Nothobranchius furzeri: one gene and its partners. The protein of the gene in region 3 interacts with the protein of the main gene of each other region in a biochemical or structural test. Links are inferred from orthologs where the notes say so. Each region holds a gene or a part of one and is shown on either strand. Other genes may lie near its edges. The genes, in order: ncam1b, plcg1, fgfr1a and anosmin-1.

Region 1 (5,713 bases), on a different chromosome or scaffold from region 3:
TTTCACTGTGGCGTGGCCCCGGCCCATCATACTTTGCTCTCTGTGGCGTTTGTCTGAATGACATTGTTGTGTGCTGCAGAGATCAGAGGATGTGGTAAGTCTCCCTCCTCCAGTTTGCTTTTCTCATCAGCATAAATCTTTCTGCAGAGGGGAAAAAAAAAAGAGACACATTAGAAATGTTGAGTTCTGCGGCGCGGCGAGACGTCCCAGCAAACAAACGGCTTGGCTGAACACATCTTTACCCAATATGTAAGACGACACCGTGTTCAGACATCTTCTTACATATTTCTTCACCACCTTGACAACAGTCGAATAAAAACACAGATAATGACATATCCCACATCCCATAAATGTTTAGCAGATACTATATTTGAATCACTTTGGCTGTACTAAAACAGAACGGAGCTTGTACGCGTTTCCAGCAGCTGCCTGCAGCTGAGAGCAAGAAAGCCCCCGCCTGTTTACTTTCTGGATGAGGTCTACGGCTTCCAGCTGGGAAAAGAGTCATCTAATCAATACGAGCACATTTCAGACATAGAATGTGTCACGTTACTATTTAGCTGCTGTTACAGGTTCACTCAGACATGACCTGACTGTCGAGCAAAGAGCCACGATGCAGCTCTGCCTCAGGAGGCTGGGGGGTGCAGCCGCTTCACAGAGAGGCTTTTAATAACAGAACACACAAAAAGAGCCCTCTGATGGCTTTAATCAGAATAGTCACAGTGACATGTCTGACATTTAAAACATGAAATCAAGGTTCTTCTGTTTGGTTTGATTTTTGCTCATAAGAGTCAAGCATCAGCTTAGATGTATCTGCTTCAGATACACTTATTAGGTATTATTGGAACTATTAATTTCTGTAATTCAGCTTATAATTTTTGCATCTGTCTGTTGCAGGGTGATGTCGATAAAACGGCACTCAGCAGTTTTTAACCAATTTCTTTAAAAGTGAGGTTCAGTGATTGTGTTGGTAGAAACTTTACTAATTCTACATGGGACAGCAAGCTGCAGACCAGAAACAGCACTTAAAGAGCAAGTCACCCCCTACCAGATTCTTACTCAACTCCCACTTCCTGTTTGAAAAATGCAACAAATGCTGTTGCCTAGCAGACCGAGAGGGCGGAGCCGCTAACAAATACACAAACTCACAACATTGTGACATCATAATGTACCATCTAACATCATAGTGTACCTCTTAGCCAATAGCGATGGCAGATTTAAATTCGAATGCAGTGCAGAGTTTTTGCCTGACGACGGTGCATCACTGACAGTTTTAGGCAGAATATTTAGATTTTAACTAAGATGCACTAAAGTGCTGAATTATTGACTATACGTGTCTACGTGTTTTGAATAAAACTTGAAGAATAACTGGCAATTGCACATTTTCAGAGGTCTTTCATATTTTATAACATGCTATTTGATATAATGGTTTACAAACACAAAGGGGTAATTTATTAGAGTACTCGATTAATCGATAAAAGATTCGATAGAGTACTCAATTACAAAAATATTTGATAGCTGCAGCCTAACATCTGTTGTTTTTCCACTTTAAACCAGGAGGAAGGAGGAGCAGGAAACTGTTTGGTGTTAGTCTCTAAGTGCGTGACTGCCTCCGTTTAAAGAAACGTTTACGTCTGACATGAGTGATAAGCTAACGGCTAGTCTGACTGGATCATTGCAGCTCTACTAATTTACATGTCAGATTGAAGAGTCTTTACACTGCTGCCCATTTACATTACTTGGTTATTTACATTGTTATGAAACATTTGCAGGACAAATTAATTTTAGCCTATCACCCCAAGTGGATGGCTGCCATGTTGAAAACTGTAAACCAGAGGAGTTCAAGCAGATATTTCATAAACCTACACACTGGCATTAATGTATAACAGTGCAGTGGAAAAGGGAAGGTAGTTTGTAGAATAACATTTGGCAGTGATCCACCTTAGCTACACTAATACTAGCCATTAGCTTATCAGTCTTGCCAGATTTAAACTTTATTTCTCTAAACGGAGGTCATTCAGGAATATGGTAATTATTTGTACACAAATGCTCTAAAATCTCTTTAATTCCCCCCAAAACAACAAGTTAGATGTGTTTAATTATTTACAAGGTCATTTCTGTGACCTTTTTTTTAAACTTATTTATCTAAACAGAAACTTTAATTTCTCAGCCTCTGAAGCACCTCGCTCTTACCTTCCCTAATATCTACAGAAGCTTAATGGTTTGTGACTATCATCACTACAGCTTGAGAACATAGATGTGAGGCCACTATCAGAACTTTACCAGACCTTCGCGGCATGCGTGTATCTCTATTTCACCGGGCTGGACCGAAAGGACCATTTTCTGGGCCAGTAGAGTTGCTGGGTGGTGCTTGTGGTTAACTCATGCTGATTGGAACTTTATCGTCACCTTACAACCGGCATTTGTAAAACTGAAAATGTCGAATGGTCGAGCAGAATGAAAGGAAAAGACAATACGTAACACTGTTTAAAATCGGTTTCTAAACTCTCAAAACCGAAAAACGCCACGGAAATCCTCCCATAAAACCGCCATTTACGGAGCTTCGTGGTCTCTACAGAGCGTCGTTAAAAAACGCCTTTTCTTCAGGTCACTGAACACTTCTTACTACGTCCAACAAGTGCTCTCCCGGTCCACTGAAGGGACTAAATTCATGTTTACAATGTCCGTGGACACCTTTTGGTGCTGATCAGCGCCAAGTTGTGATTTATTGCCATTTTGGCAAAGTCATGAAAGGGCCGACTTTGTAAAGAGGCACAACAGAAATTTCCCAGAACTCCTGTATTGGAAACGGCGCTACAGTGTTGAAGCGGTTTGAGTTAAACACCAGAAGCGGTTTTCCAGATAATCTACTGAAGCAAATAAAGATAAAAGCTATATTTTAGTTGTTTATTGAAACCTCTTTTAAAACATGACCTCCATGTCTGAAAAGGTGCTCGTCTTTGTTGGATGTGACTGTTTCTGGAAAATGGAACCCACAATGGAAAACTGTCGCACACGAGCAAAAAAATGACAACCATCACATCGCCTCTATCTGGAGCGTTCCCCTAAAAGTTCCCCCTCATGTCATTACCACAGTTTACTGTTACAGTAGCTGATATCGTGTGGTCAATGGCAAGATGCGGTGGTGAATGAATGGGCATACACATTACACACACTCACACACACACACACAGATAAACCTCTAGAGGGAGCCGTACTCATCGTTGACAGGAGGAGCGGTCTTGACCAGAGTCTCTGAAGCCTCCACAACTGGGCCTGAGGGGGGGAGGTCTGTTCCGTCTCCACTGGGCTGGGAGGGGTCTGCGGGCGGGCTCTCTAAGCTAATCAGATCTGAGAGGGGTCGAGGGTGTCTTCCTGTGCCGTTTGTCAGCTCCAACTCTAAATTAGCGTTTTTGAGCTCTGTGTCTGCAGGCGTTATGTCGTACAGGTCTGGCGCTGGCGTCGGGACTTCGTCGGAAACTGCAGAAACTATCTGAGTGATCGGTAACAGCGAGGAAGCATCTGGATCTTCAGCAGCCCCGGTATCATCTGAGGGAACACCTCTAACGGGTTTTGTTGCGGGTATGTTGTTGTCAGCCGATGACTCAGTGGGTTTGACTGTGTCAAAGGCGGCAAAGCTAGGCGAGGAGGAATCAGGAGCAGGGTTATAATCTGGGTTAGGATTAGGTTGTGGAGGTAGCCTAGTGACAGGTGGATTTGGAGCAGGTGTCTTCATGTCTGGAGTAGAAGGGGAAGATGTAGAAGACACAGCAAGGGGGGAAACTGGGGGGCTGTTTTTAGCATTCATAGCTGCTAGTTTTGGAGAGTGTTTGCGTTTTGGTGGGATCGGCGTTCCAGGTTTTTGAGGTCTAGGCTGTTCGGGAGTTCGAGGAGGGGTTATCTTCTCCTGCTCCTCCTGTGTTTTATAACCCCTTTCTTCAAGCAAGGGGGCCATTTTAGCTTCTACAGCGGTGGAGGAGATGACCGGTGCTGGCGGCGCCGCGTTAGACTCTGGGGTCGGGGCCGGAGCAGCGAGAGGGGTGGGTGAGGGTTCGTTGGCCAGGGTGGACAGGCTGCATGTGAGGGTAGTGGTCTCGCTAGAGGGGCTCTCCTGGCCAGGGTCGTTTGTTGCGGTGGCTGTGTCAGAGTTGGTGGCTACAGAGGAGGGGGTGTCCAGTGCCAGAGAAGCCACCAGCCTGAGAGAGCAGGGAGAGAACAGAGACACACAGACTAGACACCGGGGTGACTGTGACAGAGGAAGGGTGGCCCGGACCAGAGCATGCAGAGGGATTAGTTGGCTTCAGAAACTCAAACAAACTGAGACAAAGCAACTTAAAAAGAGCAGCTGTTAAGCCTAGTGAGAAAAAGAAAAGAAAAAGGGCGTCATGCTGTGAGTGAACATTAAAGGATACATCCCATACACACACCAACATGGAGTACACCAACTAATGTTCTACGAAAGGCACCAGCCTTCCAGCAGGAAACTACAGCACCACAAAGAACCACCTACAAGGGTTAAACAGTACCAGTGTCAGCCTCAGACACACTCCTTATGGGGCAGGGCTAGCTGTGGTTGGTAAATGCCTTTGTGAATTGACCACACTAAGGAGGAACAAAGTCTTAGACTGGTATTGCTTCAACCTTCATATAATGAGACAGAAAATCTTCCAAGCTGAAGAAGAAACACAAAGTACAATAATTCCTCTGATGGGGAATAAAAACAGAAAAGCAACAGGATTTTTTGGACTCCACTCGAGAATGATAACTTAAAGACGAACAAGGTTCAGATTTCATAAAGGTTAAATAACACTGATTCTTCAAGTGGAGTGCAATGTACAACAGCTAAGGACACTTGAGCGTTGAAAGGCCGAGGGCCGTTTCTCCTGCTCTACTCACTCTGGCTTTGTGAGAGGAGTCGTTTCATTGGGTTCTATGGGTCCTGCTGCATTGTGATTGGCTGTGCACTCGTCCTCTGTTCTGACTTCCACTATCGGCTCTTTGGACTCATCTTTACTGTAGGATTGAGACAACAGTGAAGATTAAAAGGGAACCAGTAAGCTAATGGTGGACTGGCTACGTGTCTGAGACTCACACAAAAGCTGCTTTTCCCTCCTCCAGGTTGTGTCCCTTCGTCCCCGTGCCCGATTTGCCACAGAGGCACATGATGAGGCCACATTTGTTGACAAAGTAGCATGTGACGTCCACAGCTAGCAGCAGGAGCACAAACACCACCACAAGGATCCCCGCCCACAGCATGGTGCCCATGGGGAGCACTCCCTCTTCACCCAAATCTGCCAGACAAGAGACGAGCTAAAGAGACCCGGAGCAGAACACACGTCTATAAAACACATAAAATACTACGGTGAAAAACTTACCTGCTACAGAGCGATTCATGTTAGAGCGCTGATTTGTTGTTCAGTTAAATTATGTGATCAAATAATAATTTACCAAGGTAAAGCTTGCTTATGCAGACTGTGTCTGAAAACCGCATAAGTGACTTTTTACTTAAATTTAATGATTTATAAAGAAAATCTGGACTGAAAAAGATTGCGCCTTTAAGCAAACTTTGGACCTGGCGTAAGTAGTTTGGAGTTGGGCAGACTGGTTGCTCCCTACAAAAGCTAAAGAGGGGCACAGTCTTTGTTTACAATGAGAGAGCTCGAGGGGTTGCTAAGTCTGCACCGGCTATCTCCGTTGAGCTGGGATTTGTAAT
Region 2 (7,629 bases), on a different chromosome or scaffold from region 3:
AATAGACACCATATACAAATGAAAGCATATGTTAGTGAGCAGTGGTATTTGTATCTATTTGTATGACATGTTATTGTACACATTATCTTAAGATGACTGAATAAATTGATCATTCATTCAATATCCCTCTGACCTGTTTTTGTGACAGGCGTTCTGGACGAGTGCAGCACTGTCGCATACACTCTCGCCAGGAAGCTGGCAGCGCCAAGTTCTTCCTGACCGACAACCTGGTGTTCGATTCGCTCTACGCCCTCATCACTCACTACCAGCAGGTGGCGCTGCGCTGCAACGAGTTTGAGATGAAGCTGACCGAGCCGGTGCCTCAGACCAACGCTCATGAGAGCAGGGAGTGAGTCTCTTGGAGCTTTTACTATCGATGACCTGTGATTCACTCTGATCCAGCTCAGCTCTATCCAAGAACGAGACTGTTTGTGACTTGCTGGTGAAAAAGTCTCTACAATTACAGAAGTACTTGAACCTCTGTAATTGGTGGTCTGCCTGAGTACAGCACCCTGTAATTTACCAGTTCAGACATTCTGTCTTGTGGAAATTTTTCTTTAGCACAGGATCGGTATGAAGGCAGGTGAGTTCCTCATCACAGCTGAGACATTAAGTCCTTAGTGCTGGAAACGCTGACGCTCAGCAGCTTTATTACCAGTGTGTGAATGTTGGTAAAACTGAATTATTTCATGTCCAAGTAGAATCTATTCATAAAGGCGCTTTTGTTTGTCACAAGTCTCGACATGAAGAGACCAGAGCGCACCACAAACCACAGCTCCATGTTTTTCTGGATTTTTTGGCCTTTAATTGGAGAATCTAAAATGCTGCACAGTAGTTTTTGTAAAGAGTTTTATATCTGAATGAAAACCATTGGAATCTGAAACACAAACACAGTGGTTTGTTCAGTCGCTGTTGTTGTGGCGAAGTAATGAGGTAATAATTGTCCCCGTGAAACACATCATCAGTGAGCATCTGTGTACAAAAACTCAAATCTCGAGGATTTTTTCAATCAAAATCTTTCCATTATTAAATTAATTGTTTTGGTCCTTGTTGTAACACTAGTTGGGTTTTTTGGTCGTCTCTTTATTGTGCATTTAATATTTGTTAGGATTTTGTTTGTTTTGTCTCTAATTTTGTCCACACTGTAAAATGTCCCGCTGCCATCATGTCCATGTCCATCATTCCTGATCAGCTACGATTTCCAAAGCTGTTCTAGATTAAAACTTCATTTTATTTATTTATTTATTATTCATCTTTAACATTTATTTAGGTGGCTGAGGAAAAAAATGTATTTCCTACTTTTCCTTTATGCTTTTTTATAGGTGGTACCACGCAAACCTGTCTAGGAGCCAGGCTGAGAACATGCTGATGAGGGTTCCTCGTGACGGAGCTTTCCTCGTCAGGAAGAGATCTGAACCCAACTCCTTTGCCATTTCCTTCAGGTAACTAATAACTGCTTCATTTGGTGATCATGTGTAATTTTATGTCATTTAAATCTAAATTTCTTATACCGTATTTTCCGGCGTATAAGTCGCTCCATCCATAAAATGTATAATGAAGAAGAAAAAAACATATAAGTCACACTGGACTATAAGTTGCATTTTGGGGGGAAATTTTATTATTTTTCTTACAAAATCTGAGACCAAGCATTTCACATTGCAAGACGAGTACTGGTAAAGATAACAGAATAAACAATCAGGGCGCAGCAGCACGCCATGGTCTCCAGCAGAGGATGGTGGTGTTTGAAACCCTCCCAGCGGGGCAGAGGAGCTGAAACCTGGACTGGAGCCGGCCCGCAGCAGCGGGGTATACATAATTTGGTATATAAGTCGCAGGACCAGCCAGACTATGAATAAAAGTGCGACTTATAGTCCGGAAAATACGGTAGTTGGAAAAATCTTAGAGATTGCCGTAGCTCATGATGAGTCTTTCGTTGCGATCATGTTTACAGGGCGGAGGGGAAGATCAAGCACTGTCGAGTGCTGCAGGAAGGCCAGTCTGTGATGCTGGGGAACTCGGAGTTTGACAGCCTTGTAGATCTGATTAGTTACTATGAAAAGCATCCTCTGTATCGTAAAATGAAACTGCGCTACCCCATCAATGAGGACACACTGGAGAAGATAGGCACTGCTGTGAGTTTCCCGTTCTATTGTCAACACTGTTGACCAAATGTAATAAACAAACATGAAATCTCAGGAACAGAAATCACGACTTATCCACTAGTTTCCTCAATTAAAGAGGCAGTCAGGGTAGAAAAAACGAACCTGTTAACAGCCAGGATATTGTTCAACAGGAGCCAGATTACGGTGCGCTGTACGAGGGCAGGAATCCAGGCTTTTACGTTGAGGCCAACCAAATGCCAGTTTTTAGGGTGAGCTTGCAGAACACACTCACTGAACCGTGCATATCGATCACGAATGTTGACATCCAAATCTTATATCTGTACATTTCAGACCACAGCTAAAGCCAAATACGAGTATAGAGCTCAGAGAGATGACGAGCTCTCCTTCACCAAGAACGCCATCATCTCCAATATAGACAAGCAGGAAGGAGGATGGTGAGTGAGCTGCGGAGGAAGTCAAGTCTCCATTTGGATTTATTACATTAGTCCAGTAGAGAAAGATGGATAAGGAGTAGATTACACACCAGTCAATAGCATTACATTTATGTGAACATTTATTTGTTTTTTTATAAGATGCAGTGTATAGAAAGCTAAATCTCATTATTAACCCATTATCCTAATTTCCCTCAGGTGGAAAGGTGACTATAGAGACAAGAAGCAGTTGTGGTTTCCTGCAAACTACGTGGAGGAGATCGTTAGTCCGACAGCTGCTGAGCCTGACAGAAATGTGCGGTTGTCATTCTCTAGATAGAATTTAACAAGAGAAACCAAATCTTTAGTCATCTTTTTACTTGATTGTTAAACAGGAGACAACAGAGCTCAGCCCCCTTGGAGATCTGCTGAGAGGAAGTTTGGATCTGGCATCCTGCTCAGTTGGTGAGTTTTCTCTCTACTTCCTGCCGAGCTTTGCTGCAAGGCTGCAGAGCAACCTGCAACCTTCCCAGAGGGCCCGCCAGTGCAGACAGACAGTTACACAAACCGTTCCTAAACTGCAGAAAGATCCAGCAACCGTTTCCATTATGGTCTATGATAAATCCTTGATTTGTTTTGATTGTTGCTGTTTTGTTACGAGTCTGCTTCTGATACTTCACCAACATCCTCCAGCCCAGCGTGTACACATGTTCCTGTCAGACACTGAGTCATTCTGCTGGATGTCAGAAACACTTAATTCAGCTTAAAACTTAAAAACTCACAAAGTATATACAACAGAATTAACGAGCTTTTACAGTATATGTACTCAACTAAAACTGATCATAGATTTAAAAACAGGGAGAGTATTAAAATCTAATTTTTTTTATCTTATTGTTTGAACTTTAAAACTGCAATTTATCATTTAATTTATACAACACAATACATAAAAATCATTCAGATAATTTCTACAAAAATAAAGTGCCTGATTCATATAAAAATGGAGGGAAATGGGGATACAGGACAGGTTTAACAGTTAATTTATATTTAATCTAAAAATGGGCTTAATTGATCATTTGAATATTTCCTTGTCAGCTGCTGTTCTACAGATGGGAGGGGATTCACAAACCACCCCAAATATAAAAGAAGCTGGCAGGTTTAGCTTAAATGACTGGAAACTGGAAAAGGTGCAAATAAACTAGCAAACAGCTTGAAGTTGGAAAACTTTAATTCAAGCAGTAATATCAAAACAACTCTGAATCCTGAGCCATAATTTAGGTCACATTTTTTGACTTCATGCATTGTTGATTGGGCAAATAGCACCATCTAGTGGCTGCAGGATATAAGAACGATTCTCTTGTAGACTTCATAACATTTATTTAAATTTTTCCTTTTGATATGGAAACAGCTGCGTTTGTTTACATTTTTAAAAGTATTATACTTGCATCAGTTTAGTTAATTGCACAACAAAGAACGGAGCGTTCTAACGGATATTTTTCTTAACTCCAGTTGTACGTAATGAAGGCAGGGGTAGCAGGCCTCACGTCTTCACCCTGGTGCCCAACAACCCTTCAGTCGGCCCGGTGCTGGACTTGGCTACCAACAGCTTGGAAGAACTAAAGGAATGGATTTATGGGATACGTGAAGCTACTGTGTTTACAGAGGCCAAGGTAAATGTGTACAAGCACTCGTGCTGTTTTAAAGCCAGATTTTACTCATGAATTTTATTTAGAAATCAGTGACAGAGCTGTGTGCACATATGATGTTTTATGGTGTTACCTCCGTCAGTTCTGCACATCCAGCACTGGTCCATCTTGTGTGGTTTACTAGCATCACCGGGTGTCTGTTGTGTATCTGACTTGTTTACGTTGTATTTCTGGGTCCAGATTGAAGAAGGGAAGTTGATGGAGAGAAAGCACAAAATAGCGATGGAGTTATCAGACCTAGTCATCTACTGTAGGCCCGTGCAGTTTGATGAAGACAGTAAGCATGGCGCTGCTCTATGATAAATCTTCCATTAGATTTGTTTTCACCAAACCCAATGGGTGAAACATTCAAGTGGGGTAATCTGTCTTTTGTTTTCATTGTGTCCAGAGATTGGCACAGAGCAGGCCTGCTTCCGGGACATGTCGTCTTTCCCCGAGACCAAGGCAGAAAAGTACATCAACAAATGCAAAGGCAAGAAGTTCCTGCAGTACAACCGCCTGCAGCTGTCACGGATCTATCCCCGGGGCCAACGGCTGGACTCCTCCAACTATGACCCGTTACCCATGTGGCTCTGCGGGTCCCAGCTGGTCGCACTTAACTTCCAAACAGCAGGTAGGTAGCTCCTTCTCACAACAAAATACGCTGCGCAGACTAGAGCTTTCATCATTTTTACATTCGCATTTTACCTCTGTGCAGACAAGCCCATGCAGATGAACCAGGCCTTGTTCATGGTGAACGGACGGAGCGGCTATGTCCTTCAGCCACCTATCATGAGGGACGATGTCTTTGATCCCTTTGACAAAACCACACTACGAGGCATTGATAAAGTGGACCTTGTGATTGAGGTACAGTAGAAGGTTGGATCACGTGACATGACAGCATGAGGCAAGGGCTTCTGATGATACTGGATTCAGTTTCTCTCCATTAAATGTTACCAGCTTACTGATTTTAAAGTATTCTTCTCCTAATTTAAGAGAATCAGTATCTTGTTTCCTCCTTTAGTGCATTCAAACAAAATCTAGAAATTGAACCCTTTTACAGTTACTTCTCGCAATATAAAAACATTATTCATCATCTGAGCAAAGAGCTGAAAGGGAGCACCAAAACATCTCCTAGTGCACCATTTAGGTTTGAGTCTTGGACACGTAGGTCGGCTCGGGACAATGCAAATATTTAATCGCATTGCAGTGATGTAAAACCTCCATGACTGCAGCAAAAGTGTGGGGAAAATGCATAAAATTAATGTCAGTTCTGCAGAAATTCACAGGCTACAACAGCTAAATGTGTTGGTCTGATGGGTTATTTCCTAAACAATAATTGTGATTTAGACCCAGTCTAAACTGGGTTGTGGTCAGCGTGTCAGTGCGCCAAAACCAGTAACTACATATTTACTAAGGAGCTTAATTTTCATGTGTTATTGTTTATTCCTCTGTTTTCTCCTGAAGGTCCTGGGTGCACGTCACCTGCCGAAGCACGGCCGAGGCATCGTTAGTCCTCTCGTTGAGATAGAAATTTGTGGGACAGATTATGACAGTACCAAAGTAAAAACTAACTCAGAAGGTAAGACCAACTTGAATTTGAACTCTTCTGTGCTCCTAAAAAGCATTCCACTTTAAAACTGTACAAATATTTTTGTTTACTGAATTCATTACGCCTGTGTCACTTCCTAGCCGCTGCTGGAAAACAGGAAGTTGCACAAACAATTAGGAAGTCTGGGAAAACGAGGCAAAACATTTCTCAATGATGTAATTGTAGCTCATCAGGTTTTAGCTGGAAACAAAACCTTGTGGCTCTTTTGTTTATTTTAGTTCATGGTAGATTTTGTTTTGGCATCAAGCTCGCTGACGATCATCTTTGCTCTCCAGAAATGACGAAGCTTCTGCTCCTGTTCATGGTGTTGCCGATTAACTCGACTGTCTCCAGTAAATAGCCAGCCTTTCTTCTCTGATGCTCTTTGATCTTCAGCTTCGTTTCTCTCCAGGGTTTTTGTTTTTCCTGTTTTCTTGAGAGGTCGTCGCAGTGTTTGCTGCCACGTGCAACTTGGTTTCATAGGAATACTAGAATGTTAATAACATTGACGGGCAGAATATTTCACAAATCATCACATTTTCCCCAGAAACCTCCTGCCAGGTGTGACTGTAGTGAGAAAATCCACGTCTGTCTTCATTTTACAGCTGACTGATGTAACTTAGTCAGATGTATCTTTTGTAGTGTCTGGCACAAACCGCAGCAAGCCCAGATGAAGTGGGTCATTACAGATTCACGGTTTGTTTTTGGGTGTAATGTTCAAACAGAATGTGACTTTTTGTTGTTTGTTCTCTAGCTGATAATGGACTGAACCCTACATGGCAGACAAAGTTTGAATTCAGTTTATTAAACTCCGCCTTTGCGTTCCTGCGTTTTGTGGTCTATGAGATCGACATGTTCAGTGACCAAAACTTCCTGGCTCAGGCCTCGTTCCCCATTCAAGGCCTCAGGACAGGTACGTGTTAAAGCAACTCATACGTTTGCTTGTTTCTGGAAAAATAAATGCTTTCTTTAATGAGTTTGAACCTGTCTGTGTTTTGCCAGGGTACCGCTCCGTACCGCTGAAGAACAGCTACAGCGAGGATCTGGAGCTGGCTTCTCTGTTGGTCCATGTGGACATTAGCAAAACCAGGGTGGGTTACGACTCCAGACTGAGCGGAGCTGCTCTTCCACTGACGTGCAGTTATTAGCACTTTAAACGCACACACACAAACCCATCCAGTCTTTTTGAGCATGGTCACATTTCATCATCAACCCAGAAAGCGTTTCTGAAGGATGACACTAGTTTAGAACATGTGAGAAGTTTTCAGGCGTTAGAAACAAAGGAGTTAAAGCGGTCAGCCTCATTAATCACGTTGGGTTTCCTGTTCAGGGTGAAAATGGTGAACTCCTGAGCCCGCTGTTTGCTGCCAGTCCCACAGCAGTACCAGCCTCAGCCCAAGTAGGACGAGATCGTTTTGGGGAGCTGAGCTCTGTGTCCTCCTCTCCCTCCACCATGTCCCCTCTGCCTCAGTCACCCCCCCAGGCCTCAGCCTACAGAGTGATGGATGGCCCTTTGGACACCCGCTACCAGGCCTCCATAGATGACTTCAGGGTGAGCCAAGAGTCTCTGTTGGACCACATGGACCCACAGAACAGACGGTGAGTGTGGAGACTTTACGCTTGTCCAGTTATGGGGGTGTACAACATTCACGGCGTCCTCTTGTCTTTGTCCTCTCTTTAGGAACTTGCGGAGGACCAAAGTGGGCGTAGAGAACCGCGTCTAAGTCCAAGCCAATCAGGACTCGCCCCCCCACCCAATCCTTCCCTCACCCAGCAGCCTCTCCACGTACTGATGATGTCACTGACTGCTGTGATCACTGTTT
Region 3 (8,306 bases):
AGAAAACACAGATAAGAAATTGCAGAAAACCAGACTTGCTCTGATAGCTTGTGATAAAACAACAAAAATACAATCTTGCTCTTATTTGAACATTTAAATGACTACAGAAATTCTGGATTTTTTTATTAACCACTGTATAGGTTTACGATCCATGTTGGCATGAAAAAAAAATACATCTGTTTGAGTCATTATTCAGGAGCATCTGGCCACTGAGATTAACACTTGGCCACAACTGGCATATCACAATCCTATGCCTTTAAGAATTTGTTTTAGCCAAAAACTCAAGGCTGTTATGGGACACCAACAGAGGCCAACATTTTCACACTTGGAGATCCATCACCTAACAGTTGGTTTTATTTCCTAAACCCAAATAACCCCCCACAACCATCTGTCCCCATGAGACTTCTAAGAAACTCAAGCCTAGGAATACATGGCTCGTGAATGGAGGAAAAACAAATTAAAAAATGCGGTCAATGCTGTACAAAAAACAACAACAGGGTCATCTCTAGGTTAAGAAAACCCGATCCTGATTGACATAAAGTACTGCACAGACACAGCTGTGATTTCCTTTAGGAGGTAATCACTTTTATGAATGTTCCTCTCTGAAACAGTCGTGTTCTCATCAAAACCAATTCAATTTCACTTTCCAAGAACAGCTAAGGCGGGTCAAGGGGGATCCAAGGGGGATAAAGAAGCTTGGTCATCTCTGCTCAGTAAGCTATGAGTCAATGTTTGGGAAAATGCTTTAGCTGTCACACAACCGCAAAGAGTAGTGGACCAGCCCCTCACGAGCCATCACCACATCAGGATTTGAAAGAGAAAGGATTTTGTTTTTAAGTGTGTGACAGGGTGTTTTTATTTCTCTCTCCTACAGGAGCATGAGTAAAACAGGGTTTTGAGTCATTTCTTGCGCACGCACGCACGCACGCGCGCACACACACACACACACACAAAGTATTGATTTTGTGAGATAATCAAAAACGTGTCAGCCTTGAGCATGGGTAAATTTTTGTCCCAATTATATGTTTCAAGATACAACTTTGTGCTAATTAGACCAATCATAAAGTACTTTTTTGTATTTTAAGCCATTGAAAGTAGACTGCACATACACACCCATTAGCTGGGTAAAATGAGCATGTTTTAATTTTAGACTCTAATTAATTGGATCAACAACCTAAATTATCCAGACTAAAAGAACCCAATAAACTACAACCAGTCCTTCCTCTAATAAAAACTTAACTTAATTCTTTCCTTTCAGCTGCCAAACATCTGATTCTAAATGTGAAGTTTTTTTCAGCGTTAATTTAAAAAATAAAGCCAGAATAACACCAACTCCTATTTCCTTGCTACTGGTTTTACTGATTTAACAAATGAGGGACACAATTAAATGTCTGATAAGAATCCCAACTAATGCTCTAAAAAAAATAAAAGTGTTTCACTGGTGATCTGCCAAACTAACAAATAAAAGGTTATACCAAACTGATTAGAACATGCACGACACATTTAGCTTCTCTCATTGTACAAAGACAAAGGTTACAGACCTAAACCCATAACACGGCCCACACCATAATCACTGTTCACTGCCATCCATGCATAAAATTCCTCAGCTCCCTGATTATGTACCACCGTTTATCCACCCTTTCCACTTTGGTCCATTCTTGTCACCAGCACCAGTCTGCACATGGTAGCAGTTCAGTAGCCACAAGATCATCAGACCATCTCCCTGAGGCTACTGTTTTCACAAAAACAGACACCTCTGACTTCTTCCCTTCCTCACAGTCACAAAGTCTGAAAAGGTGGTTCTACAGCAGCATTAAAAGCAGGATATCAGTTGTCAGGTACTGAAATGCAAAGAATCATTTTCAGCACACTATGTACCGCTCTGTAGATGAGACCGTTCAGTCTACAAACAAGAAAAGTAACATTTAAAATCTGCCTAAAATGTTGCAACATAAGTAACATCCTAAATTATTCAGGTGCTTGTATAACTACACTTCTGTAGTAGGTAGGGTTGTCATGGTAACCAGTGTAGTGGTAAACCCCGATAAAAAGGTTGACGAAAATATATTATCTCGGTGGATTACCGTGGCTGCGGTGTAGGCGCGGTGACCCTTACGGTGACCCTTACCAGCCACCGTATCATCTGCTGAAGTTGCCGGCGGCACATGCACACTTTGTTGTTTACAACCAAAACTTTCCTGAAGCTAAAGCTGAAATAATGGCCAAAGGAGGAGACGACAGCGCTCAGGACATTTATTATCCCTCAAAGAAGACAATGTGGGAAGTACGGGCATTTTTGGGATATTTGATGAATGCCGAGGGACAGTTGATAGAAGACGTCTATCCTGTTTGCAGCACGTGCAGAAAAAGTGTCTGTGAAAGGCAGCAACGCTTCAAATCTCATGACACATCTAAGTGACCATCACCCACAACTCTACAGTCAACGCAAGGCAAGTTAACGTTAGCGTTTTAGCTAAAATGCGTGATCCGAGGGTTTGGGTTGAGGGAGAATGCAATGAGTCGCTATATAAAGCAGCCGCAGCGCCGCTACCTGCATATAAACCGTGTCGCGAGTGTGACGCCCACAAAGTGTGGTCACATAATTTTGTTAAAGTATTTAGTGGTGTAATTTAGTAAAAGTAATAAAATAAGAATAGGAAAGTGTGGGGTGCAATACCGAGGTTCTCCACAAGGTGGCGGGGGGGGATGCGAGACGGCTAGTGGAGCGCTGTGTCCCATCTACCGTTATTCGGGAGCAGCAGTTCACAGAAACCACTCCATTCTGATGTCTCTGTCTCTTTTTTTTTGCATTTCAGGTTAGTAAAGTGCACCCAAGCATACAAATCCACCTATATGAGGTGCGCCATGAGTTTATAAATGTAGTGATGGTTGATAGCTTATGCTAAAGGTTCAGTTATAGAGTTAATTGGACGTACATAGCCGTTAACGTTTTATGCCCATAGTCTAGCCTCACAGGCAAATAGCTCAACTGGCACCCGGACGTTCCCTCAGTAATTTATATTTAAGCTGTTAGTGGGGATTGTGCCGGCCCGATACCTGCAACACGGACACCCCCATGTTGAAATGACGCTATGCATTACGGGGCTCCCAGGGGCAGATAAGAGTTGGTCTCTCTCCGGGAATCATTATGAATTTAACAATGATTACTGCCTGATGACATTTTCCCACATCTGCAAAGCTCACTGGAAGGACACAAACCGAGGACAATATTTTCCTGGTATAGGGTTTATTACTCAAGTAAGGGTAAAAAAAGTATTAGAAGGCTACTTGAGTACTGAGTATCATCTGATCTATTTTTAAAATAATGACATCAAACAGACAAAAAATAAGAAGTTATGGGCAAATATTGGTATTTTAAAGACTAGAGGGGAAAAATATAAACAAATAAACAACATAATTACAAAATAACAAATATTAAGCAAAATTTAGACAAACTGAGGACAATATTTTCCTGATATACAGGGTTCATTTAGTTGTCTGAAAATGTAACATCTTTAAAAAAAATACAGCGATAATACCGAAAACGTGATAATTTTGGTCACAATAACCGTGAGGTTAAATTTTCACACCGTGACAACCCTAGTAGTAGGGCTGGACAATATATCGGCATCAATATCGGCCCGATAAATAAAACCGGGCCAATATTAACAACCGATATTTTTTCCATCTTGTTTCCATTTGTTTGCCTGTTTCAGAGGGTGAAGGGGGTGATGTGTAATTGTTTAGTCATGTGAACAGTGAATTAAATCATCTCAGAACCATCAATGTGTGCATTGTGTGTACATTATGTAAATTCAGCTTTAATAATTTTCATTCTATACAAAATCTGCTGATTTTAGAAGCACTAATGCCACTATATTGGTTATTGGCCATAAGAGTGATCTTAATATTGGATATCTATCGGCCCAAAATTTTCATAACGGTGCATCACTATTCTGTAGGAATAGATGGATTGCTTAATGTTTGAACACTATATAAATCAAAGCAAAGAGCTCAAATGCTACGGGAGCAGTCGGGTAAATTAAAAGGGCAAAACGTTCTTCCACTTGTCATTATGGTTTAGGAAAACTAAAAACTTTTTCTCCCTATATGGTCCTTTTCTTAACCACCCACCTTCACCCTCTCTCCCTTCATAGCACAACATTTTTTATTTTACAGGACATCAGACAAGCCTTTCCATGTTACTGGGTTAAGTGAGGACTCAACATTATTTAGTCTGTCTGGAGCTGGAAAGTAAATGTTTCAGACACATTTGACTGTAATTGTGTAAACAAAAGCACACAGAAAAGGTGTGTGTATGCATGAATTTAAATGAGTACATTAAAGAGGAAAATGGCGTCATGTGCTTTCGAGACATTTTCCTTGATGTGGGGAGCTATCCAGTTTTGCTTTTAAAAGGCAGCTTTAACAAAGAACAGGACTGGGGGCAACACTTTTCTTCTGCTTAAATCTTACCCTTTCATTTACGAGCATGGGGGAGGTTCTAATCTTATACACATGAAGCTCTGATTTCTCAAAGGGAAGAAAAAATAAACTTGTTGAACAAAAACACATTGTCGGTCATAAACATCTTGCAATCGAAAGACAGAATTTTATTAAATAATTTGTCAACTTTAAGGGACACAACTTTTTTTGCACCTTTTTAAAAAAACGAACTCCTTATATAAAACTCACTAACATGACAATGGCTAACCCCTTAAACTTGTAAACAAACATGTAAATGAAGCAAAAATTAAAAAGTGACGGAATAAAATTAGTAGCTCACCTTAGTGGCGGGGAGCTGTGAAACAGCCAGTGTTGGGTCAGACTAGGCAGGGTCCAGAGAGGAGACTGGATGCAGGAAAAGATCCAGAAAAAAGGACAAACTGGGAATCCGCTGAGGTTAAATGTGTGGCCCGTTAACGAAGCTCGCACGCGCCGAGCTCTCCGCGGTTAGCTAACCAGTTTGCGCATTTTCGGCAACTTTTCATACAAAAAAAGAATGTCGAGCCAAGGGGGAAAAAAAGAGATGTAAAACGTCGATACGTGTTCGGCATATACGTACTTCTACCTTTTCCTTTGAGTTCCACCTGGACGACTTTACTGCATCTTACCTAAGCTAGTCAGGTCCGAAAAAGCGAGCTTGTGCGTTGGTTTGCGGTAATCTCTTTATCACGTCTCACACGAGATGAAAACTACGGTCCACAGTTACCAAACTGTTACCATCAAGTTCTTAAACTCAGTCAAACAGAATAACCGAAGAGGAAAACAGCACAATGAAAAACTGATTAAAAGTTCGTTGTTAAATTGCTCTTGGGGAAATGTTTTGACCATTCCTGGCGGAGAAACGCTGTTTCCACAACGCGAGTCCAGACAGCTGCAAACCTCCCCCTCTAAAATCTGAGCGTGAACATTCTCTCCAGACTTCAGGCTACGCGGCAGACGTTACACGCACAGCTTCCGCTTTACCACTACAAAATAAAAGCCTATATAAATAAATAATAATTATAAGAATTATTATTATTATTATTATTTTTATTATTATTCAACTAAATTATTTTATTTTTATTTCACGTATCCCACAATGTAGTTGCTTTGTCTTAAAGTTAATAAGTACTTTTACCTCTTCATCAATAAAGATAGAAAAAAAACCTGAAGAGTATAATTATAGATGTGCCAAAAAATAGCTTGTTATCAAAATCTGTCAATATTAAATATGATTGCGTAATCTGTGATCAGCCAGCCTGAAACAAGCAAAAGAAATCAGATTTTCCCCTTCAGCTCATGAAAGCATCACTGTGGAAGGTGGCAAAATGTCAGACATTTTCCTAGTCCATAATTCACACTAGCAGTATCATATCTACTATGTGAACGTTTTTACATGCAGAATCACGATTGTAAAGTTAAACCAAATTTTAAAAACTAAATTTCTATTTCTGGATTATGGTTATGTGGGATGATCGAACGAACTTAAATAGAACTAAAACATGTTCAAAAACAAGCAATGTCTTTAATAAATGTCAGCTTGTGTGAGGATATTATGTTCCACATTCTAAAAGTTTATAAAATAATCCAGCTTGAAATATTTTCCTTTATGTCATCATTTTAATGAGCGTCTCTGAAGGTTTTAATTTGAAAGGTAAACAGCTTATTTTCCGTCCTTCTTCAGGTGTCACATTTATAAATTGACGATGTCTGCTGCGCTTTGAAGGAACCTGGCTCCCCCTGCCATCCACGGCGCCTCTCCAGCAGCGAACCACTAGTACAGGGACAACGCACGCACGCACACACGCACACACGCGCACGCGCGCACACACACACACACACACACACACACACACACACACCAGGACCATAACTAGGAAGTACCGTTTTAAGAGGGAAAAACAAAATCAGAACAGTACTGATTTACATACACTTATATATGAAACTAACCCGGACTATTGACTAATATTGATAACAATAAAACACACATGGATTTTCAAAGCACACAACATGTAATTTAGGAGATTAGTTTTCATGCAACAAAACAAACATTTCTATAAATGAGCATTTCAAGTAATTCTCACAAATCTGTGCTAATGCTGTCATGGACAAAATTTTCTTAATTCACATTTGCAAGATTTCAGCAAACTAAAATATTTATTTTCTCAAAGTAAATAAGCTCTTTCATCAGCTTCCTGTTCAAAGCAGCTATTAAAAGCGCTTTAATGTTCAGACATAAAGATTTGGCAGAATTTCAAAGAGCATTAGCATTTCAAGTGTGTCAGCCAGCACAGCACAAATGTAAAGTTTGCTGTGACAGATCAAACACATAGTTCATATCTGGAGAGTTGATTTGCAGTCATAGTTGACAAATGACTGACAGCTGAAGCTGCAGGGACACATAAAGCCCAGCTTTGTAGTTTGATTAAAGAATGGCATAACTAACTGATTTGTGTTTCGACATGTGTTAGCCGTTCATCCTCCATGAAATGCTTAGGTAGTGTTGGGTTGCACGCAGACTTCAACTTGCTTTTAATGTTTGCTTTACTTTGTTTTATTACAGTTGTGCCATTTTACTCCCTGACTTCTACTTAAAGCAAACATTGTTTTATTGCTGTTATATTGGTTTTTAACCAGAGCCCCGCCGCCTCGATCCCCTATCAGCCAAGCGGATGATGACGTTACAGGATGGATGTAGCTCAGCCCACTAAACAAACTTCTGATGATGGTTTGAAAAGACAACAGAAAAGCACCTCAACAGGAGTGTTACCAGAGATATAAAGACTTAGAATAAGATCTGATGATCCGTCATCAAGATTAGGCCCAAAAAATCTTTTGGAAATAACCATGAAACAATGCTGTCTTTGGTATTTTTTATTTATTCAGTGAAAAGAATAAAACCATTTCTGTCTTTGTGGCAGACTGCTAATGACAAAGTACCTAAAAATCACTTTAAACGTGATCCCTTGTTTGTCACGTGGTAATGTCATACAGATTCAACCTTATGATGCCTGAACAATTCATAGCTGAGAGAACGGTGGTCAAACAAACAGATTACTACTCTGAAAATGGTCGGATACTCAGCTGAAAGTGACCAGAAGACCTATGTGAAAACCCCTCAGAAGGCCTGATGAAACTTAAAGAGCACTTTAAAATATTAGAAGAAAGCCTGGCTGCTTAGTGGGAATAAAGCATCTCAGCAATACCGTAGAGTAGAGGCTTGTGATGAAATGAATATCCCTCAGAGAGAAATTTATTTAGCATTTGCATGTTACTTAGCAAGATGAACAGTGAGACTAGTTACTTGTTGGGTTATTAAACTCTGTCGGTCAACAGCTGGCTGCAAAACCAAACTTGTGCAGTTTTACTACTTTATTAAATATTTATTTTTGTTTTGTTATTTCCTGACAGAGGTAAAAGTGATTGGATGTACATCTACATCTAGTTGACTAATCTTAGTCAGTCTTGGAATCTTGAAATAGACACAGCTGAGTCAGTTTTACAGATATTGAGCTACAGTTTGGTGTGGTAACAGCTAAGGGTCGTGCACATCATTCACTCAAATGTCTGCAATTTATCCGTCATCTTTTCTTAATGGTGTTGAACACTTGTTTAATCAGTACATTTGCAGTGGTCTCTAGTAGAAACGAATGCCGTTCTCTGGGGAAAAACATCTGTACACTAGTTTCAGGAAGTAGAAGTGAGCCACAGCTTCAGACGGCAGGATTTGGAGTTTTATTTCCTGATATAAAGTCCCATTAGTCGTCAACACAGACTGGTGAAGTTACATCTCCACATCTGACCCATCCCCATGGGGAGCG
Region 4 (7,629 bases), on a different chromosome or scaffold from region 3:
AAAGAGGTGAGAATGATGCAACAGACTTTGTGCTTCGAATGTTCAAGAACCTCTCTCCAGACAATGGAGATAGTTAAGCAGCCTCTCATTTAGCCATGAAAATAGTTTTAATCGTGCAAATGATGAAAAAGCATGCAATTGGCTCATGAAATCAACTAAACACTTGTGTATTGATTAATTAATTCCCTTACATCCTTTGAGCCTCCCTATCTATTCCAATAAGGCACCTAGAGCTGATGCAAACACTAAAAAAGCCAGATAAATATATTTATAGGGACTGCAAATGGCCAATGTATGAAAACGAATGAGAAGGGAAACTCCCTCGTGGTCCAAAAGCACCAGGAAGACCAGAAAACAGCTTTTTATCTGCTGCAGGTCAAGTCAGTTTTGCATGATATAAAGTTCAAACTATTGCCTCCTGGTTGTAGAAACACACACACTCTTGGGTGTGTCTGCTTCAGATGTTCAGGTACGTTCAGGTGCTTCTTTTGTCATCGTTTGTGTGGCGTCAGCAGGGTCCTCTCACTCTACTGCTTCTGGGTTTTACCATCTGAATGTGAAAGCCAGCCCTTCTTTGAGGAGCAGAGGTTTCCTCCAAGGATTTCTTTGCATCTCTTTGGTCAGATTAGTGGCTTTCAAGTTCACGAGTTTGGCCTCAGCTTTCTGCAGGGCCTTCCTTAAGCTAACCCCTACATCTTTCCCAAGCAGCTCTTTTTGCCTCTCAAGCTTGGCCTTGCATCTTGCAGGCCTTGATCTCATTGGTGTTTGAAGAAAACGTTTGTTTGCATCATCAGTGCCTCCAGATGGAACCTCTGCAAGAGGTCCCACACACGAATGGAATATGTAACGCAGCGAAAAAAAATGGTTAAATGTTAAAGAGCAAGTCACCCCCTACAAGAGACTTCACTCCCACTTAATGTTTGAAAAATTGCAACAAATACTGTTGCCTGGCAGAGGCGGAGAGGGCGCCTACCGAGAGGGCGGAGCTGCTAACAAATACACAAACACACAGGCTAACAATGGCATTGTGACATCATAACGTACCAGTTTACATCATAGCATACCTCTTAGCCAATAGCGGTGGCAGATTTAAATTCAAATACAGTGCAGAGTTTTTACCTGACGACGGCGCAACACTGCCAGTTTTAGGCAGAATATTTAAAATTTAACTAAAATGCACTGAAGCTCCAAATGATTGACTACACATGTCTGCAGCACGATTAGACACTCGTTCATGTCGTTTATCAGCAAAAAAAGTTGGTTTGGGGGTGACTTGCTCTTTAATCAATAGATTTATTGATAAACTCACTAAACCTGGAGTAGACTTCACAGAACTCAGCACTTAAAGGGGCTAAAGAAAAGAAACACAAATACAAAGTCGAGCTCAGAGCGGAGTGAACATAGTCTGGGCTGTGTAGAGGAGAGTCACCATTTCGGAGAGGCTGTAGAAGAAGAGATCATCTGCTCTGGGATCCAGACACAGTCTGACTCTTGATGACTGAGCATCTGAGATGGGAGTGCTGATGTTGTTGCATTAGGATTTATTACTGTTTAGGGAACAATATAAGTCCAAGACTTGTCGTTAAGTCTAAAGACACATTTATTCCCTCCATGTTCTGCTGAGACTCGTGTAAGTGACTGCTGCAGAAACGTCTCTGTCTTTCTCCAGTCCACCCCCAAAGAACAGTGTCCAGACTCCCTCTGTTCAGGAGGACCTAACAACATCCTGTGAACCTGTCTGAGTGGCCAGAATGAGGCACTACTGCCATCTAAAAACAGTGCAACCCTCATAGTGGTTTATGCAAACATCGTTTTGTAAACCTTAACGTCAACACCGTTTTTGAGACTCAACACAAAACACATTCAGGTTTATGCAGCTCTCCAAGTCATCGTGCTTGGCTCATTGGCACGTTTCTGCTGACTCTAGAGATCAAACGCTTTGTTAGTCTGGTGATCTCCTTTACACGGCAGGATTTTAAAATTGTCAGATGATTTTCAAAGCATGAGAGGCCACACATGTCACAATAAAAATCACTCTACACACACAAACCTGGTCAGAAATCTCACAAAACCTCTTGAGATTAAACATGATCAACACCTAAGTAAAAACATGATGGAGAAGGAGCGTACGGTGTACTGTATTTCGATTACCTTGCATTCTGATTGGCTACATGTAACGCTCCACACTCGTTTGGCCTTAAAAATCAGACGAAGACAATCCAACACGTTTAATAACCTCAATTTATATCGAGAGCAGTCCCTCGTGCTTTCACAGAGTGACACTAAAGTCGCCATTTGCATTTTTTTCCCTGGGCGGGCGTCGGAACGAGCCCCTGCACCATGAGAATAAACATCACAGCTCTAAAGCTGATCTTCATCCATCTATGTCACATGTGATCAGGAAGCAGAAAATCCATGTGTTAGGAGATCGTTTTGGGCCGCTGCTGTAAAAAAAGTGAGGAGCAAACCGGAAAACTTCTGCCGATCACAATTCAACAACGGATTATGAAAGAACGGATCACACTAAAAACACGAATTCTTCCTGACGTAAGGTGAGTCTCCTCTTTGTTTTGGTAGTTTTAGCATTGACATCATCATAGAGCACAACGTTCTGTGGCTCTTCAAAAAACATTAAAAACACTCAAACGCTGGCAGCGAAGGGCTTTTCAGGTCAGGAAACAGCCATCAGTTAATGCGTTACTTATTTTGTTGTAAACTGAACCTTCTCTATTGAGTACTGAAGGCCTGGAACGTGATCCTTACGGATTCAGTGTTCCAAAGCCTACTTTGGTTGCCTACTTTCCAGAGGTGTGGACTCGAGTTACACGATTTAGACATGAGTCAGACTCGAGTCATTATTTTTATGACTTCTGACTTGACTTGATAAAATCTATAAAGACTTACGACTTGACTCAGACTTGAACGCCAGTGACATGTGAATTGAATCGACTTGCATTTGTGGACTTAATGATGACTTGAGCATATTTGATATTTTAGCACAAAAGTGGCCCGACATGGACAAAAATCATAAATCATTATTTGTTCTGGGTTTGATTTACTGCTAAATGCAGCAGCACTTTGTTTATAATCAGTTTCTGTTGCACATTCTGCTTGTTAATCATTCTGTTTGTTAAAATAAATGAAGCTTTAAGAGGCTTTATTTCTAGAATTCACTTATTATCATCGTCATAAAACTGAAGTTGAACAGATGACTTGATTATGACTTGAAAATTCAAAGTTAATTACTTGGACTTGACTTGGACTTCCACATCACTGACTTTGGTCTCGACTTGGACTTGATTGTCTTTGACTTGAACTTGACTCAAGACTTGACTGGAAAGACTTGTGACTTACTTATGACTTGCAAAGCAGTGACTTGGTCACACCTCTGCTATTTACTTGGCCTACTTCTTTTGGTTGGGGACATTGGTTAGCCCGACAAGCCATCCTTCATACGTAAATACATTTGAGCCGATACCCTGGTGAGGTTATTGGTTTATTTATTTTTTGTCCATTTCTCAAAGAATATGATTTTTTTTTTTACTCATGGTCAGGAATGTTGCAAAGCAATTTATTGTGAAAAAAATGTACAAACTCATTTCAAATCACCATAACACAATAAAATACCAGAAATTCCCTGATGAAAAGTTTACACGCCCCAGTTCCTAACACCGTGTATTGCCCCCTTGGGAGTCTTTTGTGGTTGTTGTGGAGAAGTTTCTGTATATCCATGTAAAGCAGACCATTCTTCTGGGCAAAGTTCCTGGTCTGGCCACAAGCCATTGAAATCTACGGTTGTCTTTCAAACTGCCTCTGCACGCGTCTCTTGAAGTCAGCTCTAGGATCAATCGGAGCAATGAACAACGTGCCATACTCAGAGAAATGTAATGCAATGTAAACTGAGTAATACATTCTCTGTATTTATATGAACTTATTAACATTTTCCTGAGTCCTAAACCGTTTCTTTTGTCATTGAACATCAAATTCCATAAAGAAAAGCCTCCCAATTCTCACGAGTAACAGAAAAGTTGACCATGTGTGGGATGGTCATCTCAGCTGCAACCTTTATTTTTGTACAGTAGCTCCTCACAAACTCCCCCACAGTGTTTATCTGCCCATCGCCCTCCTCTTGTCTTACAAGATTTATAATTAATTCAGCTGTGTTCCTTGGATTTTTTTGAAATACGCCTCTGATTAATAATTGAATTGTGCTATGTTCACCCCTCAGCGGGAGCCGGGCTTGTGGTGGGGAGATAAAAGGGGTTCTTTGAAGGCTGAGACACAGATCTGGCACTTGAAGCCCTTGAGCTCATTGGAAGCAGAAGAGAGGAATTACAGGGAACCGGGAAACTGGAAAAAAAAAAAACAAGATAGGCTAAGCCGGGTCTGACGGAGAGGGGAAGTGCTATGTAAAACATGAAAAAGGACATGGAAATCAGGTGGGGAACACAACCTCGGCAGCGTTCGATAAATCATGACTAGAGGCGAGCTTCACAAGTCGCACCGCCGCCAAGCTGCTGTGTATTGTCAGAGCACTAGACAGACAAAGATACATTATCAGCGCTGGTGTACAATATCGTTCTCTTTTGTCTGCTGGACAAAATCCAGAGGCCAGGCTGCTTTGGATCACAGACACAATGAGTGAGAGTTTAATCATGGTTCAGTTAACCTGTCCCCTCTCTCAGTCACACAAACCAGATGTCCAGAGACTCCAGCTCTCTGGGCCATCTGCGTGTCTGTATGTTTACATTAGCTAAAGCAAGGCCATCCCTCAGACTAATGAGAGGCTGTGGCAGATACGCCAAAGAACAGGACCACAATACGAGAGGCCGAAAATGAAGCAGGACCTGGATTAACTCTGCTCTGCAACACAGTGATTCCCCAGCCACGCTTGATCCTTGTCAGCATCACTCAGCTCACGGCGTTCAGGCCAAACTTGCCAACAGCTCTGCGCCAACTCCATCCCCCTCTGTGCTCTCCTCTCTCTGATTCAGCAGTTGGTGTCTCACCAGGCTTCTCAATCCAGGGATTGCATTCTTGACTCCAGGATGTGGAGTTTGGCTTGGGCGATGACATATACTTCTAACGTAACACAGACCAGCGAATGGAACTTGACAGGCTACCCCGAGACCACGGTTTCCATTTTTCACTCTGGTATGAGCAGCACGTTTTTGGGGAATGGCTGCTGCTGCGACATGGCATGGTCTTTAACCCCATGTGGCGCTGCAACCCACCATCACGTCTACTCCCTATGACATCAGCCTTGTTCAACCGAAGGGCCGCTTTGGTGCTAATGCAAAGATCTATCAAGCGCAGCTGAGTTGCGTGTGTTTATTGTTCTCTGCTAAACGGTGGCTCCTCTCTACCGGGCCATGTGCAGGTTTTAACCGCACTGCCAAGAGCTCACATTACCAAGCCCTCACGAAGACCCATTGCTTTATTTACATCATCTGACACCACATTTAGAAGAGGAGTCCGCCATTGTTTAAGCAAGTGGGAATTAGTCATAACATCTTATTATGGTGCATGAGTCATAGTGATTGATGGGCATAACGGGGTGCTAATTCAAATCAGACAAAGCTGAAAAGCAGAGCGCTTACCTCCTCGTTTCTTCCAGTAGACGCGGACCTGCAGCTGACTGTCCTGGTAGAAAGGCGTGCCCACTTCAAGAGGGCCGGAGGGGCGTTTGGCCAAGTTCGAACCGAGAGGGGATATCTTACCCTTCTTTGACTTGAGCACCACTTTTGCTGAGAAGAGAAAGGAGAAACGTTTGCTGTGGCTAAGACACAACGGGGTTACGACACACTCTCCGGCACGGAAACGGACTTGATTCTTTCTGTGAAAGATCAGCAGACAGCTCAAAGGAAGGTCCGTTCTGTATGCATGAATGTGCTGTAGCTCAGCGGGCAAACATACAGCACAGTAAAGGTCGGAGGTTCAATTCCCTCTAGAGTCACACATACAACAAAAAAAACACGCTCTTGTTTCTCCGAGGCTCGCTGCGGACGTGCTGACAGCGTTCCCTGGCTGTCCCAACTCTCTGAAATGCCTGTGATGGTTATTTGCCCTTTCAAAATTTGTCGGAAACTCAACTCTCATGAGAAGCTAAATGCACAAACTGGATGAATGAAAAATGGATGGGATTACACTGTAGTGGTCTGCATTTGCAGGTCTGCAGCTACATCCAGATTTCTGTGGTGCATGATTCTGCATGCAACAAAAATCAGCCTTTTGTGCCTTTTTTAATGATCAACTAAACATGATTCAGTCCTTTTAGGATGTCTTGTGCTGTACAATGTCACACTAATAGGTCCATCTTTGCTTCATGTCATCTTTTAGCCATTGTCTCGGGGTCGTGAGTCAGAGGAGGCAATTATTTTGGCAAAAGGGAGACACTTTTCCAGATAAAATTGCATTATTATAATTTGCTCTCATCTCTGAGAAGAAAAAAAAAGGTCCGATTGTAAAGTCGTCAAATTGTCAGGTTTCTTGAATTTTAAACTATTACAGAAAAGACAGATTATAAAATGCAAAGTTATTTTGTTTTTGGTATTCTTGTTCTTTTAAAACTGAAAATGTTCCTGTTGTAGCTTCTAATCAAAGGCAGAGAATTAATGACAACCTGATGACAGTGGATGAAATTTACTGAGCCCTCGAGATAAAAAAAAAAGCACGATGAAGCTTGGGGATATTTTAGAAACCTGACATAACACAAAATGCAAACTTATTTATACAGGTGACAAAAGCCAGAAAGCTGTAAAGCACCGATCTGAAGGAGGCGTTTACCTGATTCGTTATCCTGGGTGGTTCCGAAGTGGAGGGAGGCCTTGGAGCTCTTCAGGCGCACCTGTCCCCAGTAAGTGACCGCCTGCAGCTCCACCGTGTAGCTGCCGTTCTGCTGAAGTCCCTCCAGATCTACCCAGCTTTGAGCCTGCAGCATGAAAAAAACAAAAAACAAAGAAGAAATAAAAAACTTAAGATTCTGACATTCGTATGTTACCACATTGTCACTTGAGACTCCTTTCAAAGCCCCGCCGCTGTACCGATCGTGTCTCCGACTCAGCCTGTGGGAAAGCCGAGCTTATTAGGAACACATCTGGAGCTGAGGGAGGGATGGTGATGAGACGATGGACTTCAGGGGTTCCTGTGAGAGAGCCGTGTTATCAGAACCTCCCAGGGCTTCTTCACCGTGCTGGACTTCCAGCATTCCACCGTCAGCGTGAACCTGATGAGTTCCTCTTATTGACTGTGTGTGTTTTGACATTCCTCAACCAGCGGGCTGCTTTCAAAGCCCCGAGGTGCCAAAGTGGAAACCAGTAGTACATGTGTCAACAGTGTCTGGTGTCTCCCACCTCTATCTCCTCCGTGCCACATCTGCTACGCATTTTAAAAACTAATTCAGCAGCAGTGTGCATGAATGTCTAGGCGATCTGTCTTTTTACTCAAGTCTCTGTTGAAATGCTCCGCGAAGACAGTGAGACCCGTGTGCTCTTTTGTTGCCGGAGACTTTTTTTTTAATCACGCTTTTACGAATAAAACTGGAGAACTGAATCGATAAACGCAACTTCAAGGCTGTGAATGTGCTTGCGTGGCTGTCCTGGTCTACCGTGGTTATTAAAGGCAGACAGT

Evidence for each region.
Region 1: the proteins of fgfr1a (region 3) and ncam1b form a complex in vitro, tested with the Homo sapiens proteins (2 studies listed by BioGRID and IntAct). The link is inferred for Nothobranchius furzeri from reciprocal best matches to the Homo sapiens genes FGFR1 and NCAM1.
Region 2: the proteins of fgfr1a (region 3) and plcg1 form a complex in vitro, tested with the Homo sapiens proteins (4 studies listed by BioGRID and IntAct, with this or other methods). The link is inferred for Nothobranchius furzeri from reciprocal best matches to the Homo sapiens genes FGFR1 and PLCG1.
Region 4: the proteins of fgfr1a (region 3) and anosmin-1 form a complex in vitro, tested with the Homo sapiens proteins (3 studies listed by BioGRID and IntAct, with this or other methods). The link is inferred for Nothobranchius furzeri from reciprocal best matches to the Homo sapiens genes FGFR1 and ANOS1.

What each region holds. Positions count from the first base shown.
Region 1 is NC_091753.1:48,898,332-48,904,044, forward strand, and holds part of ncam1b (neural cell adhesion molecule 1b), read right to left. Parts: intron 5,292-5,713; coding exon 5,093-5,291; intron 5,014-5,092; coding exon 4,897-5,013; intron 4,197-4,896; coding exon 3,219-4,196; coding exon of another isoform or gene 3,203-3,218; exon of another isoform or gene 3,201-3,202; intron 142-3,200; coding exon 27-141; 3' UTR 1-26.
Region 2 is NC_091755.1:60,795,259-60,802,887, forward strand, and holds part of plcg1 (1-phosphatidylinositol 4,5-bisphosphate phosphodiesterase gamma-1), read left to right. Parts: intron 1-148; coding exon 149-349; intron 350-1,322; coding exon 1,323-1,442; intron 1,443-1,951; coding exon 1,952-2,132; intron 2,133-2,293; coding exon 2,294-2,371; intron 2,372-2,453; coding exon 2,454-2,557; intron 2,558-2,752; coding exon 2,753-2,849; intron 2,850-2,928; coding exon 2,929-2,998; intron 2,999-4,039; coding exon 4,040-4,200; intron 4,201-4,416; coding exon 4,417-4,513; intron 4,514-4,624; coding exon 4,625-4,849; intron 4,850-4,933; coding exon 4,934-5,082; intron 5,083-5,682; coding exon 5,683-5,797; intron 5,798-6,560; coding exon 6,561-6,719; intron 6,720-6,808; coding exon 6,809-6,897; intron 6,898-7,136; coding exon 7,137-7,405; intron 7,406-7,487; coding exon 7,488-7,530; 3' UTR 7,531-7,629. UniProt on the Homo sapiens protein: Mediates the production of the second messenger molecules diacylglycerol (DAG) and inositol 1,4,5-trisphosphate (IP3). Plays an important role in the regulation of intracellular signaling cascades.
Region 3 is NC_091757.1:34,198,484-34,206,789, reverse strand, and holds the start of fgfr1a (fibroblast growth factor receptor 1-A), read right to left. Parts: upstream 5,382-8,306; 5' UTR 4,787-5,381; intron 1-4,786. UniProt on the Homo sapiens protein: Tyrosine-protein kinase that acts as a cell-surface receptor for fibroblast growth factors and plays an essential role in the regulation of embryonic development, cell proliferation, differentiation and migration.
Region 4 is NC_091754.1:23,438,106-23,445,734, reverse strand, and holds part of anosmin-1, read right to left. Parts: intron 6,932-7,629; coding exon 6,787-6,931; intron 5,748-6,786; coding exon 5,601-5,747; intron 1-5,600. UniProt on the Homo sapiens protein: Has a dual branch-promoting and guidance activity, which may play an important role in the patterning of mitral and tufted cell collaterals to the olfactory cortex. Chemoattractant for fetal olfactory epithelial cells.